Linked DNA regions of Oryzias latipes. The protein of the gene in region 1 purifies or fractionates together with the protein of each later gene. This does not show direct contact. Links are inferred from orthologs where the notes say so. Each region holds a gene or a part of one and is shown in the gene's direction. Other genes may lie near its edges. The genes, in order: ift140, wdr19 and ift43.

The links.
Region 2: the proteins of ift140 (region 1) and wdr19 purify together in Homo sapiens (co-immunoprecipitation; 3 studies listed by BioGRID and IntAct, with this or other methods). This does not show direct contact. The link is inferred for Oryzias latipes from reciprocal best matches to the Homo sapiens genes IFT140 and WDR19.
Region 3: the proteins of ift140 (region 1) and ift43 purify together in Homo sapiens (affinity purification with mass spectrometry; 3 studies listed by BioGRID and IntAct, counting the BioPlex papers as one, with this or other methods). This does not show direct contact. The link is inferred for Oryzias latipes from reciprocal best matches to the Homo sapiens genes IFT140 and IFT43.

Annotation. Positions count from the first base shown.
Region 1 is NC_019877.2:9,009,546-9,013,203, reverse strand, and holds part of ift140 (intraflagellar transport protein 140 homolog), read left to right. Parts: intron 1-338; coding exon 339-571; intron 572-2,598; exon of another isoform or gene 2,599-3,658. UniProt on the Homo sapiens protein: Component of the IFT complex A (IFT-A), a complex required for retrograde ciliary transport and entry into cilia of G protein-coupled receptors (GPCRs).
Region 2 is NC_019859.2:13,002,916-13,006,673, forward strand, and holds the start of wdr19 (WD repeat-containing protein 19), read left to right. Parts: upstream 1-1,312; 5' UTR 1,313-1,424; coding exon 1,425-1,430; intron 1,431-2,072; coding exon 2,073-2,164; intron 2,165-2,263; coding exon 2,264-2,329; intron 2,330-2,440; coding exon 2,441-2,566; intron 2,567-2,669; coding exon 2,670-2,788; intron 2,789-2,876; coding exon 2,877-2,992; intron 2,993-3,115; coding exon 3,116-3,196; intron 3,197-3,635; coding exon 3,636-3,748; intron 3,749-3,758. UniProt on the Homo sapiens protein: As component of the IFT complex A (IFT-A), a complex required for retrograde ciliary transport and entry into cilia of G protein-coupled receptors (GPCRs), it is involved in cilia function and/or assembly.
Region 3 is NC_019880.2:13,343,577-13,346,234, forward strand, and holds the end of ift43 (intraflagellar transport protein 43 homolog), read left to right. Parts: intron 1-457; coding exon 458-530; intron 531-1,218; coding exon 1,219-1,294; intron 1,295-1,402; coding exon 1,403-1,465; intron 1,466-1,729; coding exon 1,730-1,831; 3' UTR 1,832-2,109; downstream 2,110-2,658. UniProt on the Homo sapiens protein: As a component of IFT complex A (IFT-A), a complex required for retrograde ciliary transport and entry into cilia of G protein-coupled receptors (GPCRs), it is involved in ciliogenesis.

The DNA of each region.
Region 1 (3,658 bases):
TGTTCAAAAAAGCTTTAATGTTGCCTCCCAGCTTCCAGCCCCTTCAACTGTGTACACCTTGTGATGCATTTATTTAAAAAAGGAAACTTTAAAGATGATCACAAATGCATCCATGCTTTGTTTGGACCTCAGCGTCAGCCCTGTATACTCTTGTGTTGGTGGATAGAGTAGATCTGTGATGCAATGTTGTTCCGCAACAACCGCAGAGTTTTTGTTTCCCCCAGATTTGTTGAATGTATTTCCTTGCTTTTTTTTAAATAACAGAACTTTTTAACACAATTCCATAAATGTTACTTGCAAAATCACAATTTTTTTTAAAACTGCCTTTCATTTCTCAGCCTGGTGAGATGGATCAAGGCTCAACTGAGGCCTCATCACTTTCACATCAGACCCACTCATCAAAATCCAAGCCTTCTCAGTTCCCTCATATGGTGTCCAGGCGGCCTCTCAAAGACTTTGTTGGTCTGGAGAGCTGTGAAAAGGCCACTCGGGATGCCATGCTCAACTTCAGCTTCTATCTGACCACTGGTGACATGGACAAGGCCTTTAGGTCAATCAAGCTCATAAAAAGGTAAGATAATAATACTAAAACATAGCCTGCCCAATGTAAATTAAAGGAGATTTTTTTTTAAAGATTAAATAAGAAAAATTGTGAAAAAGGAAAATATGACCTTTAATTGAAAAAAAAACTTGTAGATCCCATAAATGAGCAGTTCTTCACTATTGATGATCAGCACAAAATACGATTGCAAACGTTTTTAAGACCTCCCTTTTTACATCTTCATTGATAAAAGATTTTCATAATTATTTGGAAAAAAATCCTTCTTTTTTTCTCTAAGAATTAAGAAATAATCAGATCATGAATGAACTGCCTATACAACTGACAATCTTTTATTAGTTTAATATGCTACTTACAGTAAAAAAAGGAACAACACAGGAGATGTTTAATGTTTTTTTTGGTATCTGCATGGAGGGAAGGAACTCTTCAGTGTGTGTATATGTGTGAGTGTTTTTGTTATTGTGCGGGTGTGTTCTGAAGGGATGTACTTTTCTAAACACATTCTGAATTACACACACATGAAGTTCCCCTGCCAGTTTGATGGAGAAGGAGTGCCCGCTCCATTCTTCCAAACATGAAATCATGTCAGCAGAAGGGTGCGTGTGCTCGTTTCCTTTGTGCGTGTGTGCATGCGCGAGTGTGTGTAAAAGAAAGGTACATGGATATTCATCACTGATATGATATTATCTTGGGGAGAATACGTGATTGAGGGCACTCGTTTCAAGTCCTAGTACTTTCTCACGTACAAACATTACGCAAAAGGCAAAACGGCGTTGGCATGGTCAAACAGTCCGTCAGCCGGATATTCCAAAGAATTTAATAGTCATGATGACAGTTTTACTGAGTTCCTTATTGATGGCTATTTTTATGCCCGCTTAAGTTGATATTGTGTTTGACTCCCACCCACATGAGTGTGCATTTCCTGCAGGAGTAACCTGTATCATTAGGGGCTTTTGACTGTGGGGTTGATCAACAATGGGTTTCATTTTTAGATATGAATTTAGCTTTTTCCTTTTTTTTTTTTTTAAGGAATGTACTTGATAGCATCACCTCTGTTCACATAGATGGACAGTATGTCTGTGTCAGTCAAATTTCAGGATGCTTTATTTAACGGCTGATGACAGAGGGGTGCATTCCTGCTTGTTCTCCAGCATATCCTGCTCTGGTATGTTCTGACTGGCTTGACACGCCTGATCCAGGTAATGTGCCGTGAGTTGGGCAGTGATATCTGGGAAACATGAGGACACGGGCCCTTGAACCCTGAAAATTGCCCACCCTTGCTTTAGTGGTTAATCAAATTGGTATTCACGTAAAATACAGACTTATTGGTAATTAGTTGGGGCAGAGATGAACTTCCATTTTAAAGGTTGGCAGTTTATTCCTTACAGCTCTATGGGTTGAAGTTAACAACCTCTAAATAATGTGCTGATGTATGAGTTTGTAGAATGAGAATAATTCTGATAAAAGCAAATAAGAAACATTTTATAAAGCAACATTTTGAATTTACGTTTGAAACCAGCTTTTAGTTTCAGAGCCTTTTTCTTATTGTGAAGTTACTTTAGAATGGAATTTTCTGTGAAAAAGTATTACTCTTGTTTTTATAAGCCTAAACACGTCAGTGTATGAACCCAATTGAGATCGATGTGAATTTGTCATTTTTGTCAGTGAAAAACTAAAATCCTCATCTTCATTTATTGTTTTTTTTTTTTGTACGTGAGACCTGTTTTAATTAAAATATTTGTTTTACGGTTAGTTATTCCTCAAGGCGATGACATATTTTTTTACTTAAGTAATCCTTCAAAATAGAATTTGCAAAAAGGCTAAAGTTATTTTTTTTACATAATTTTTCATCTGGTTGGTTGAACATAGATCCATATTTAACATTATTGCATAAGTAAGTATTAAAAGGTCACTATTTTGCTGCAGTCCTCAAATGACAAAAATAAATATACTCATTTTATTTTGTTTTTTTATATGCACACATGCTGCTCTCACAGTTACATACTTGCATGTAAAAAAAAGAAAGAAAAAAACGTCAATTTTGCAGCTTTAGGAATGCATTTAATGTTTATGTAACATTGTATAGAAAATGTTCATTTTAAGTAGCACTGTCCAAACCTCTGTCCCTTCATTTTTAAGTAGTCGATATTGTAACTCTAGTTTTGACTCTTTAAAGTGAAAGTAAAAACCATAAAAATAAAATATTACAGCTCAGACCAAACATCTGATGCTTTAAACAGATTTTAATCCACATTTTTATTTCATTTGTTAATTCTCCTCCTCCCCATCTGTTAGGCCTGAAAAAGACAGTTTTTCCAAAGTAAGCAATACATTTATTGAAATTAAAAATATTATATATATTATCTGACCCGCTCCTATCTGACAGTGAAAGGTCCAAGCATATCAGTGAGTTAAAGTTCTTACATTTTTAATTATACAAGATGTACCAAAAGCAACAGTTGTTCATTTAAAATGCTTAATACAAACATTATTTGAGCCAGGTCTTTTTCCTGCCAATCCCGATTCACTTCATCTACAAGATGACTATTATTCATTTTAGTTACTAAAATTGTGCTTGGAAACCAAAACTGATCTGTGATCACATCTGCTTTTTCTGTAAGCAGCCATTTTTTTCTCAGTTCTTAGAACATTCTTAAAAAGAGTTCCATGTAACCACAATTCAGATGGTTAAAAGTGAAAAGTGTCCCAGAATGTGACAGACAAAATAAAAAGAAGCACAACTTGTTTTTGCTTATTGATTCACCAACTTCCAACAGATTCATTATAAAATATTCCTTTGAAATTGAATGACTTTTAAGATAGAGACAAACATGAGGTAATGTGGTGTTGTATTTATTTCCAAATTAAATTATGAAGGGAGTTATTCAAAAAGCTCCTTTTTGCCACAAGGGTCAAGTTCCAGCTTGATCTTTTTCTAAAGGTGGTTTCCATAAGTCCATCTCCTACTTGCTACCAGCTCACCCAAGTGTAAATATGTGAAGAAGTGTCATTAGGTCTGTATTTGTTTAGCTTAAAGACTTCCTAATACATTATCTTTGTTAAATACGTGACTCCTGTGCTTGAAGCAGCAGAACTGTT
Region 2 (3,758 bases), on another chromosome or scaffold:
AATCATGGGATGAGATTGTGGCGTATTGCATGACCCAAAAAATACAAAAAAAGTGACTCTTCCTACAAAAACAGCCAACAGGAGGCAAGTGTGATAACTGATGACTCTACTAACAGGAGGTAACTCACGGAGGGGCAGAAAACCTAGACAATTAGAGGATGTTGTAAGTGGAAATAAGGTTCACATTTCCATAGGGCATTATGGAGGATCCCACACACAAAGAAAAGTCATTCAAAGCAGTGGATTTAATTCAGAAATAACACTTTCATCTGAACTACTCTGCCACAGGGCAATAAACAGGCAGAGAACAATCATTAATAAACAAATTGAGGGCGTTAAAGAAACTATTATTTTTTGTCGCGTTTGTTCCTTGAATTCATTGTTGATGAAGCTGCACAGCTCAAATCACAAAAATGAGGCGTCTGGAACGGAACTTTACTGGTGACCAGGTTAATACTGCCACCTTGTGGTCAGATTCTGCAATTAAAAAGCTGCAAGTAAAACAGCACAACAAACCAGTTGTTTTCATACATTGATGCTCTGATTTTCAAGGTGCATTCAGTTCAGTATTTAACCACAATCGAAACTCATGACTACAATATATTTGAGTTCAACTTTTAACATAAGAAATTAACAAAATACAAAAAAAAAACAACAAACTTTTTTTTTCGTCACCCAGTAAGCGCCCTAATTACAGTACATGCAAAAAATATTAATTGTGCGAACATGCTGCATACTGCAGTACGGAAGAGGATTAGGGCCATGGAGAAATAAAAAAAAAGGTCATAGACAATTCTGACTTTAAAGTCAGAATTCTGAGATTAAAGTCAGAATTTTCTATGCGCTTTTTTTTTCTTTGTCCATGGCCCTAATCCTCTTCGGTACTGCAGTGATAAACTATAACAAACTTTCTACAATTACTCTTTTCAGAAACTTGAAATGTATTACTGGCCAAATCAGGATTATTTTTAATCCTAATATTTCCAGCCCTGGAGGGTATGAATCCTTAAATATTGAGGCATTAAATAATCAAAATAATGAAAAAATTTACATTTTCCAAACCCCAATCTATGTTTTGTTAGGAATTAATGTAAGGATTAACATCACTTAATTCGTTTATTTTTGCAGAAACCTGTTTTATCTGATTACGTCATGACAGAAAATCCTCATCCTGTAGATATTGAGGGAATGAGCGAGCACAATTGCAAATATAAAATCGTGTCAGGTACAAAATAATGTTTCAGGCGAGAGCCTTTTGAACGGCAGTTTATGGAGGTGTGTGATTGGCTACTGTCTGTTGCTATGACATCGCTGTAGTGGACGCCTGAGAGTGAAGCATTGTGGGAAATACGTTTTTTATCCCCTTTAGGTTGAGAATCTGATGGCACGAAAACTTCAGTTTCGAGATAATTAAATCAAACAAAATGAAGGTAATTTATATCGCAGTTAAGGGAACTTTGTGGTGGTTACTGTGAAATACGTCTGGGGGAAAAAAGCTGGTTCGGTGTGGTGTTGAGTGCTATGCTAACGTTTTACACAGGCTTTGGTTAAGGTAAATTTATGTATGTGTTCTTAAATTAATTCGTGCCTTTCTTTAATGAGTTGTGGATGGATTTTGAGTGTATACGATGTTTTTAAAAAGGTAAAACGGGTTGGAAGTATAAGCTACAACAGTTTTTAACTGAGTTTTAATGAGTTGTTTGATGCTACTTGCAGAGAAACGTTGTTTTGTTTTGTTTTTTTCCAATTTCATTTTTTTTCTTTTATTATCCAAACTAAGTAAATGTTTTTTAAAAGTCACCCAAATAATTCATAGATATTTGAGAATGAGCCACTTTGACAAGTTTAAGTGAATAGAATTGGGAGGAAACCAAACATTTTGCCACCAATGAGAGGATAATCTGTTGTTTCAAATGTAGGAACAATTATATTTTAAATAACCTTTCACCTGTGTACTGCACTAAAAAGTTGCAGATTTCATAAACAAGGGAGGCATCTCTGTAAATTGTCCCCTCAGAGAAAAGTTAGGTTTTGGATCAGTGATATATTAAAAGAGTCATATATCTCCACAGAGTGTTTTTATTCTTGCCGACAAGGCCTGGACCGGCTCCAACCTGCTTTACAAATGGCAAAAAAGTCTTGGTAATTATATTGCTGTTGCAGGGTGAGTATTATTTTTTTTTTGGGGGGGGGGATTTTAAAAATCAAGGTAAGATTATAACCAGAAGTTCAAAAATGTTTCTTTCTACCTTTATTGCTACAGACAGGACAACTCGGTAAAAATATTTGATCGGTATGGACATAAATGGACTGAACTCAACCTTCCAGGGTAAGTGGGACGTTTTCTTTAGGGTTTGTTTTTGTTTGATCAAGATGGATGAAAAACATAAAATAAAGACCTTTTTGCTTTTCTTTCTCCTCCTCATCCTCCTCCTGTAAGGCGCTGTATGGGGATGGACTGGGATAACGACGGCGACATTCTGGCCGTTATTGCAGCAAAATCCGTCTCCATCTACCTGTGGGACGCCAGTGTCAATAAAACATCACAGATAGACAGTGGCCTGAAGTATGATAATCAATCTCTACGGGTTAGAATAGTTACCAAATGAAACATTCTCAGTGCAAATAAAAATACTAATTTTAGCCTTTATACTTCTTGTTGTCCCCAGCAAAGATCAGATGTCCTTCATCTTGTGGTCAAAGACCGGCCCTCTGTTAGCTGTAGGGACCGCCAAAGGAAACCTGTTGATTTACAACAGACAAACCTCACGCAAAATCCCGGTCTTAGGTAAAGCACACTGAATGCAACCTCAAAAGCTGCATGTCAGTATTGGTGAGTGTTACAGAATGAAATGTCTGATGTTGTCTAACTTTAGGGAAACACACCAAAAGGATCACCTGTGGATGCTGGAACTCTCAGAATTTATTGGCCCTGGGGAGCGATGACAACACTCTCACCATCAGTAACCATGAAGGAGATACCATCTCACAGGTACTGGTGCACTTCCTTTAGTGTCATATAGTGTCAGAACATTTATTATTGTTATCGACCACGGAAATCTGACACAAAAAATGTACGGTAGTTAATCTTTCCCGTCTTTTTTTTTTTTTTTAGGCTGCACTGCGTGGAGAACCTGGTGACATTTACTTTTCATCGATGAAAACAGATGAAAGATCATCTCACGGAGAGAGTACTGTAGGTTTCTGGCTTGATTTGTTTTACTTTAACCATAGGTTATGTTTTGCCTGTTTGAGGTGAGGTTGTTCGATAATACTTGAAAAATTGACTTTATTTGTAGCCTTTTGTTTTTTGCTCTTCCTCACTTTGTGGTGCAGCAGCCTGTTACTGTCACTCATCAGAACTATGTGTCCTATTTTCTTCCATAATTGGTTTAACAGATAGTTTAACTCCTGTTTGTAATAGCCTGAGTGCAGACTCTATGATGATAACACTTTTATTTTTATGAGATGTTGTTTTTTAAACTTTTAATTCTATTTTTATAGTACTCATTTTGTGTTGACCTGCATTTTATTACATGAATTTGTCTATACTGGATGTTTTCCTTACAGAACCATATTTACCTGTTTCAGCATTACACATGTCCGTATTTTGATCACAATCTCTGCCTTCTCAGGTGAGTGTGATTGTGGATAAGAAATCCCTGATGCTCTTCAATATCAACGACCCAGAAAACCCAATAAAACTGGCTTTTCAGAGGACCTATGGAAGCATTGTGTCCTACCACTGGTACTGTTTA
Region 3 (2,658 bases), on another chromosome or scaffold:
GACCCCACACAGATGGGCCCGCGACGAAATACTCCTGCACATGGCTGGATGCGGCCCCAGTCGGAGTGGCAGAGTGGACGTGGAGGTCGGCCTACTGGCCACCGTGGGTCCTGGGGGTTGTGGCGCTGACAGGGCCCAAATGCTAAGGTAGTGGGGGGGGGGCTTTCTGGGGGAGCCCCTGGCCAGCACCCCACCCCCCACCCCCCATCACAGCAGGATGAGCTGCTGCCCGGCCTGCTGAATATTCATAGCCGCATGGCTATTGTGACAGGTCAGCTCTTATGAGGCAGTGAGAGAAAAGAAAGTGTCACACAGCGTAGATGACATGCAGACCCACACACCTCCAGCAGCCTCACGCTGGATAAGCAGTGTGCTTCAATAACTATTTATGCATTGATAAGCATTGACTTTATTCTTGACGCTTTTCCAGATACAATCATATTGCTTCTGTTTTTAGATATTCCTGTGATTCCGGACCTTGATGAAGTGCAGGAGGAAGATCTGACGATGCAGGTTGCTGTTCCACCAAGGTGCTCCTTAAAGTCACCCCCCCCCCAACCACTTTAGATTCAAATAAATATGAACTGTTCGTCCCAGACAGGCGGGTGACAGTTAACCCTTGACCGTGCCCGGGATACTTATAAGCAGGCTGCTGTGGGGACTGTGATGTCGCAGTGCGCCTTGCTTTATGTGTCTGAAATAGAGAAATAACAGTTTGATGTGATTTATGCAACTCCGTTTCCAGGCCCCGTACTACCCAGGTCCTCTGATTTACAGGGCAGTGAGAGACACGGCGACATGTGTCGACAGTGTAGCAAGGCTATGACAGTGGTGGAGGTTATTAGGCTGGGGCTTGCTCTCTGTGAGAGATAATATCCACATTGAACTCATTGCAGGGGCAATGTAGCGTATAATGTGCAGTAAGTAGGACTGGCATGCGCTGCTAGGTCCCGGCCACTTTCAGAGCCCCCCCCCCCACTTAATTTCAACCCACTGATAAGCAGCTGGGTTTCAATTTGAAGCGTTTAACAGTTGGCAACCATCTTTTTCTCTCTGTGGTCTTTGCTTGAAGTCCTGAAGCTTATTTCAGAGGAAACCTCAAACTTATCTGAAGATATTTCTCAGATTTGTATCAGATAAAGTGAAGGCATAATTATTTTGGTACTCTTCTTTTCTGGCTTACTTTTCTTCATTGTTCTGACTTCTTTGTACTCTCAGCATCCACGTGAGCCAGGTGATGACCTACAGAGATCTGGACAACGATCTCAAGCATTACTCTGCTTTCCAAACTTTAGTAAGTCATGGCGTTTGGGTTCATTCATTTTTCAAGATGGCCTCTTCAGCTCTGTGATGCTCATCAGTTACTGAAAATCAGGAACTTTTTACATCTCTCCTTCTTCAGGATGGAGAGATCGACTTGAAGCTTCTCACTAAGGTTTTAGCCCCAGAGCAGGAGGTGAAAGAGGTGAGAATATTTTTTTTTCTTTTTTAGTAAATATAGCTCCTGAGCTCCACATAAAGAACTGCCCAGCTGTTCTGAAAGCACCAGTGGAGGCTGCCACTCTTGTCTCTCAGGTAATCAAGATTTATGATGTGTACATTAACAACCTCTGCTCCCCCCCACCCCCATTCTCCTCTCCTTGCTCTCTGCTTTTCCTTCTTGGTGTGCTTCCCTCTGCTTCCTACACTCCTGCTCTCGGCCTCTGTTCTGTTCCTCCTTGCTCTTCAGGATGATGTGAGCTGGGACTGGGATCATCTGTTTACAGAGGTGTCCTCGGAGCTGCTGATTGAATGGGATCAAGGAGAGAGCAGCGAACCAGGCTTGAAGTGACTTTGGATCCTTTAATTAAAGTTTATTTTACTACTTCTTTACACAGAGTTGTATTTTTATAAATGTCTTTAAACAGTTTTGTTGCCTAACTTTTTTTGTATATAAACCCACAAGGTTTTGAATTGTTTGTTAAAAATAGCAGTCACAGATAAACATGCCCTCTCTGTACCGACAACATTATCAACAGCAACATACAAGTCCAAGGTTGATAATCAGCTAAGCTGAAATCCACTTGATTGTGTTTAAATTAACATTCCTCATTAAAGCCTACAACCTTATTGTTATTGACTCTGCCATTGACTTTATCTTGCAGCTCTTCGACAGGAACAGCCCCTTCTTCACTATTATCTCAAATGCATTGAACAGAGTTCCGATTGACACCTGAGGGATTAACATACATTATACTTTTTTTACTGAATCAAGAGAATGTGAAATCTTTCTCAAAGTAGCGAGCAAATTCTACACAGGCCTGTTGAAGCACAGAGTGCAGACTGCGTTTGCTCTAATTCCCTTCAGTCATTTGTGGTTTGTTAAATATGTTGCATGTCGTGCTTCAGGCGTGCTGATTGCATGTATCAACATTCAATCTTGTCTTTGGTTCATGCGTCTGAATATAAATGCGGACCTCCAAAGTCCAGGAAGGTCTATGAGGAAATGGTTGTAACATTTACAGATGTGTGATTAAGTTTATTTCAGTGGCAGAGATCAGTCTGGTGGCATTTGGAGATGCACAGCGAAGCCCTCAAGGACACAATGTACGCATCCAACAGCTCAATCACTGCTCATCACTTAAACATCCCGATTTTTAATTTTATTTAGCAGGCCTC